Cricetulus griseus: one gene and its partner. The protein of the gene in region 1 purifies or fractionates together with the protein of each later gene. This does not show direct contact. Links are inferred from orthologs where the notes say so. Each region holds a gene or a part of one and is shown on either strand. Other genes may lie near its edges.

Region 1 (3,651 bases):
ATTACTGGGGAGGCAAAATTATCTAACAAATTGCTGCCACTACAACCACTGAGCCCTGTGAATTTATTGTTACTGTGGAAAGACACAAACATGTTTGCCTACATTTCTGGAATAATACACTCATAGCACTGGGTAAGGCGTATGATTCCAGGTGGTCTGAGACCTGTAAAAATCAAAACTATGAAGCTTCCAGAAGAAAGCAGTATCTGCATAGCACTAGAGAAGGCAGAGACTACTTAGAACAGAAATGGTAACAACTTACAAGTAATAAGCTGGATTTCTTCAGAACCAGAATCTGTCCTCATCACAGTTACTAAGTGGGTACCACGGTGTCAATATGCTTGTCTGATGAGACCCTGAGGCAGAACACAGATGGAATCTTGCAGATGCACACCAGGACAAACCAAAGAGAACACAACAGGCACCATGCTTCACAACACAGGCACAAGTTCTCTAAGGGCCAGGCATTCCGGCAAGAAAGGCACTCAGACACTTCAGCTATTGGAAAGGTGCAGATGAAAACGTAAGGGGCAGCACTAATGCTGACATTAATTAAGTGTCAGCAAAGTCCAAACTCTTAGGGCAGGTACCCAGCTAAGAAGTGTCAAAGACACACACCTGCTTGAAGAATGCCTTGGTGGTTCCTGCCTGCTCTGTCAAGTCACTCCACTTCTGGTTAAATTAAAGAAAAACAGTGTCACATGTCACAAAGAGGCATGTCTACACTTGTTTACAGCAGCTTCATCTGTCCAGTGGCTAAACAGATCAATAGAATCCTGTTCAACATGAAGAACTTCCGAGCAAGACAGGTATGTGGAGAAGACCTGAAACCTTATGTCTGTTGAAGGAGCACAGACCCAGGGTCCCTGCCCTGTGGTTCCATTTCACCAGGACTGATGAACCTAGCAAGCTGTGCCAGACAGAGCACAAAGACCACAGGCAGAGAGGGCTTGCTGGAAACAGTACAGGGCTGTCTCAGACAGAAATACATTCTATACTCTCATGAAAGAAGCAGAGTATGTTTCAGTTATAAGAGGAAAAGAAGGCAGGCAGGCATTATGGGTGTAGAGTCCAATAGCCAGGGAAAGTAGCTGGCACATCCATTACAGAACCAAAACTTACAGCCCACACTGCCTATGTGGCCTCACTGATGAACCAAGAACTAATCACCATATTCCACACAGGAGACAGCCTCAACAGGTAGCAGAAGAGAAGAGCAGGAGATACAGGGACACTGGGACACGTGCCCATCTCCCTTCCAGAGTGTGTGGAAACCAGCCTCAGACCTGTACTGTAGTTGGTAGACAGCAATTACATATGAATAGGGGGTCCTCAAGGTAGGTGTGACAACTCAGGAGCCCTTGCTGTGTCCCGAGGGGACAAAATTCACCCTCCTTGCTTGTATAGACTGTACACTCACACACAAGTATGTTTACATGTATAATCATGTCTGTGTCATCTACATCATCCACATTGGATATATGTCACCATCCGTGTATCCTGAGCCCTAGGGAGCTTTGGGATGGCTACAGTAAACAGCTTGACACAGCAGAAGGAACAGCAGGCCAATAGGTAGTGGCAGCTACATGGTATACTGGACAAACTGGCATTGCAAGAGAGGGTACAAAAAGGACACGACTCAGGCCCTAAACACTAGTGATGAAAGCAGAGGCAGATGGAGACCAAACAAACTGCCCGAGGGCAAGATCTGAGGGTGGAGATGCTCTGACCACCCAGACCTGCCCAGCAATACCCTTTATGCCTTATTCCACCCATGCTTATCTTTCTTCCATCCTTCAACACGTCTTGGCACTAGGACCCTGAGGTAGGAGGTGCTGTCTTGTCCTATACACTGGACAGGAAGGGCACATTCAGAACCATGGAGGGTCAAACAGCCCTGCTATGCATGTCCACTAGTACAGCAACAACCATATCCCAGGCCCACCTCTTCCTGTAACTAAGGTGACCTACACACACTTCCCATCTCTTGCTGCTGGCAGCAGGGCTAAGGCAGAAGCACAATGCAGCCAGGGTCAGCAAAGGGTAGGCTGCCTGGTAACAAGGGAGCCCTCAAAGGTGAACTCTAGCACAATTTACTGTGCCATCTCTATGGTACGCATAACAGATGGGTACCCACAAAAAGGTGATGGCTGTGAGAACAAGCCAGGGAGCATAGGAACCAATGATAACCTAAGCAAGGTAGAAACGGGCCTCGAGGTCATGCCCACTCAACTGCACCAGAGCTGTGGGGAGTGAGTGTGTATGCAACAACATTTGTATAGACTGTGCATATATCTAAGTGTGTCCATGTGTACACCATGTCTGTTTAATCCCCATGTGATGCATGTTACCATCCATGTATGATGTTCATTTGTACTCTTACGTGACCTCCATTGATGGCATCTGTAAGACACATAGCCTGGTGTCTCTGGCCCTGCCCCTGGACTACTTATCCTATATCTTATGCTGAGCTGGGGACAGCAACACAACCAGCAAGTCCATGGCCTCAGCTTTATGGAGTGGAAGGGTAGCAGATGGGCACAGGCTATCTGTGCTGAGTCACAGTGGCCAACGTACCTAGTCCAATGATGCCCAAGGTCTCTCCACGGATCCTGGCAGCTCCTGAAGCCACCTCTCGGATCTGCTCTACACTCTGGACCCGAGTGCCTTCCCGAAGTGCCTGATGCAGCCAGGTGGTTCGTCGGTATAGGTTCAGGATGTGGCACAGGGTGGAGTCTGCCGTCTCTTCCACAGATGCTGCGGGCACATTGCATACTGCGATGCCTACAAGATATGTGGCGACACATGTACCAGGTCCATAGCCTCCTGTCATCCACAGTCAGAGGTCCTACCCTCAGGGTGGTGCTACAGTAGTAATATGTCAGAGGACACGTCCCACAGCCACCTAGGAGACTACATGTCATTAGGCATACTTAAGCCTGTACCCACAGCCTTGCAGAACACAGATGTGGCAGCTAACAAGCAAACAGGACAGAGGACAGGCAAATGCTGCCTTGATCATTCCAAATGGTAGGGCCTTGCCCAGGGAGGGACAGGTCAGCCACCAAGGCTTTGGCCCCTGTGGCTTGCCAGGGCAGCATGAACCAACAGAACAAGACTGACTTTCCCAACACACTACTGAAGTGCTCAGCTGCCCTGTGGTTCCCAGACAGGTCAGCTCTAGCCTCTCTCTGTAGCCTTAAGGAGCAGAGTAGCAGAATGACGTCAACAACATACACTGTAGAGTGTAGCCTGGCTTTGTCAGCAGGCTACTAGCACAGAAAACAGGCTACCCTAGAATGGTAAAGTATGACTATGCTGTTTCAATATAAATACATGCACAGGTACAGATTTGTGCTCATGTGTGTACAGTCTGAGCACTTGTTGCTTCATGTGTATGTATGCATGGCTTTAGCACACATTCCCTTTGCTGTTATCTTAGGAGGAGGGCAATGATCTCCCCGACTGGCCCCTTGTCTCAACCAAACCCTAGGGCCTGGTAGGTTGGTGACAACACAATGAGTGAAGCTGTACCCACATCCTGTGCTGCCTGGCACAACCTGCCCTACCCATAGGCCCAAATCACCTTTCCATTCAAGGAGCAGTCCCAGCTCTACTGATTGTCTAATAGAGCCTGAAGGTTAAGTGAGA
Region 2 (3,231 bases), on another chromosome or scaffold:
GACAGTTTGTAAAAATATGCATTAATTTGGAGCTTCAAGCATGTATCATGGTGTCTCTCTGCTGTGTTTGCTTGAAGTTGATTAATGATAGACCCTCGCTTGGGGTCGTCCTCTGGAGGGTTCTTTCACAGGGTCTGCATGTTAACTAGCAGAGCAGAACACACAGCGAGTCATGATTAGCCCAGCCAGCCTCCTGTGCTCAGTGGTCCCCATGAACCACTGCCGTATTACAGATTCCCGTTTCACGTAATTACTTGCAGGGTGGCATTCATCCACCCAGGATGTCTCTACGAGGCCTGTTATTTGGCACTCCGAAGTGTGGTCCCAGGACCAGCACCATCACCCGGAATCTCTTAGAAACACAGAGTCTGAGCTCCATCCGCTGTACGTCACAAGGCCCTCCAGTAACTCATGCGTCCTGAAAAGCAGGAGAAATAATTTCTGTACAGAATCCTTCCTAAAACAGGGATGTCCACCAGATCTTTCATTGAGTGGCCCAGAAGCCCCTGGACACATGTGGTCCCTAGACCCTTGGGATGTAGGCAGTGAAAATGACAACAGACATGAAGTTATAGCAAGTTTCCCACCATATTTGAAAAACACACGTGGCCAGGGTGACTCTGCCTCTACTGGATAGTGTTGTTGCTATAGGATACATCTTCTAAGTTACCCCAACACCAGTTGTATGTACATCAATCCAGAAGCCCTCTAAGCCTGTTTCTCTCTCCCTCTGTAGGCACCCTGTACACGTCAAAGAGGAACCCCTTGACCCTGAGGAAGCGGAAGGGCCTCTGTCCTTAGTGACAACAGCCAACCACAGTCCAGATTTTGACCATGACAGAGATTATGAAGACGAACCAGTAAATGAGGACATGGAGTGAACCTCTGGGCGGGCCGACCCCTGAGACAGAAGATTGGGAAAAAAGCAAAACAAAAACAAATTAAAAAAAAAAATAACACGTCAAAAGTTAGCAGTGAAACCTTTCTCCGCTTGTTGTACAGTCTGGAGGATTTTTCGCTACATTTTGACAACTCTGAAATGTGTTAACTCTTAGTGCCATCAAGAATCCCATTTGGGAGTATTTTTGATTTTTCTACTTTTTGTTGACAAAAGGGATTTGTACTCTGTGCATTGGATGGACCTGTTTGGTACTTGGGATTTTCCTCTTTGAGTCAACATCAGTGTTGTAAATTCGATAAACGGATTCACTTTTAGCAGCAGACTTTGAACTGCAGTTTTGTCCTGCCAAGGCCGACACCGAGGACACCCGACTGAGCTCGCGCACCTGCGCCGCAGACCAAGCCTTCGCCCGAATTCAAGATTCCAGTGGACGACCTATTTGCACAGCACTGCATGTTGATATCACTGCCTTTACTCACTTTGGTTTTCTTTTTGTTTGTTTGTTTTTGTTTTTGTTTTTGCTTCCAGTTGGGATGGGGAAGGCCTTTGTGTGTTTATTGGGGGGAGGGGTTAAAAATAATTATCCCAAACTTTTTAATGTATTGCTTTTTTTTTTTTTTTTTTTTTTTTTTTTTTTTTGCTTCTTCTATACCATTTTAAGTTCTGACCTCAGGCCTCCATTTGGGCCCATGGCCTCTTGGAGGCTTCACGTTTTCTGTACCTTGTGATGAATGTTAATAGGTGTTTTTATTATACAAAGCTGAATGTCATTTCTCGTCTGTAGTTTTCTGGCACTCATTCCATTTTCCTATAGACATCACCACGTTTCTCTCAAGTTTAAAAAAACAAAACAAAACATTCCGTTTTGGTCTTTTTTTCCAAAAATTAAAAAAAAAAAAAAAGATCCCAAAGGCTGCACCTTACACCTGAAGGTCCTCTCACAGGGACATGGTGTCCTGCCAGAAAGAGAACGAATGACAGAAAAGGAGAGAGAAACACACGCACATACTCTAGGAACATAGCAGATTCATTTCACAAAAGCAGTATTGGGGTGGGATGGGAATGTTGGAGATTTTTCTTTTCATAGAGCCCGCCATTGTGAGTAACTGCTGCCACATTCTCTCAACGTCAGGAAACACAGCCAAGAGGAGACGATGACAAGAGTAAACAATCCTTAATAATTAGACTGGCATGATGACCACGGAAGGCTCTCCCCCCCACCCCCTTATAATCAAGTGGCCAGGACCACAGATTCTGTGTCGTCCTTAACAGCAGGGGTTGCTTTGTTTGCAAAATGACCAAAAAGCCAGCTTCCCTGACTAACTTTACTCAACATGGTGATAGTGCTGAGTTTGTGCATCGGTTGAGACCAGCTTGGTGGCGCTCATCTATTTTAATGCAAACGAGACATCACCTTGCACTTATTATGGGAGCTAATGAGCACTGAGCCCAGTAGATGGTGATGTGTTGGTTTCCAGGATGCAGAGTCTACACTGCAGTTGAGCCTGCAGTGTGATAGTCTCACACCACCCGAGTAGCACAGACTTAACAGGTGACACCAGTAGACAGACTGAGGCTTCTGGGACCAGGGCCCACAGAATTCGATGGCTCTAGGTCGGTATACCCCTCAGCCCTTCAAACCCCTCCACACTTCCATCTGCACCCACTTCCCTGGCATTTATTTATCTAGGGCTGTAGCTTTTTGTTTGGGTTTAGTTGGAGAGCCTTTCGAAGCTTAATTTATATACTTTGTACCTTTTATTTCTAAAATTACCAAAGATATTATGCAAAGGTAAATTATTTTCTTTTATGCTTTATCTGATGAAGCCAAATATCCTCTTATTGTTGATCAAAGGAGGCAAAAGGATTCAGAGGCAAATGATGAGGTCCAGGCTGTTTGCCAACCCGAGGGAAATAACTGCCCCTCCAACAGAGTTCATTTAGCAGACTAAGTAGGCAATGGAACCAAAGTTTTTTACTTTTTTCTACTTTTTTTCCTTTTCCTTTTCTGTACTTGTACAGAGACCAAAACTAACTCCTGTAAGGAGAAAATATGGGGCTACTGCAGAGAAAAAAAAAAATACAAACAGGAAAACAGTATTATAGCTCCTACGGAAAGAATGAGATACCATCTCAGAAAAAGAAATGAATGTATGATGCTGAAATTAGTGTGTAAATCAAGGAGACACTTAGGATGACTTAGGAGAACAGAAAAGTGTCTGACTGCACTAGGCCACTTCTAGAATAAAGAGTTTTTGGTTTTGTTTTTGGTTTTTTTTTTTTTTTTTTTTTTTTTTTTTTTTTTTTTTTTTTTTTTTTTTTTAGAACAT

Evidence for each region. Proteins that work in one complex are often made in the same cells at the same time.
Region 2: the proteins of Ctbp1 (region 1) and Foxp1 purify together in Homo sapiens (affinity purification with western blotting; 3 studies listed by BioGRID and IntAct, with this or other methods). This does not show direct contact. The link is inferred for Cricetulus griseus from reciprocal best matches to the Homo sapiens genes CTBP1 and FOXP1.

The regions. Positions count from the first base shown.
Region 1 is NW_023276807.1:102,303,005-102,306,655, forward strand, and holds part of Ctbp1 (C-terminal-binding protein 1), read right to left. Parts: intron 2,785-3,651; coding exon 2,578-2,784; intron 1-2,577. UniProt on the Homo sapiens protein: Corepressor targeting diverse transcription regulators such as GLIS2 or BCL6. Has dehydrogenase activity. Involved in controlling the equilibrium between tubular and stacked structures in the Golgi complex.
Region 2 is NC_048601.1:45,049,699-45,052,929, forward strand, and holds part of Foxp1 (forkhead box protein P1), read left to right. Parts: intron 1-736; coding exon 737-881; 3' UTR 882-3,231. UniProt on the Homo sapiens protein: Transcriptional repressor. Can act with CTBP1 to synergistically repress transcription but CTPBP1 is not essential. Plays an important role in the specification and differentiation of lung epithelium.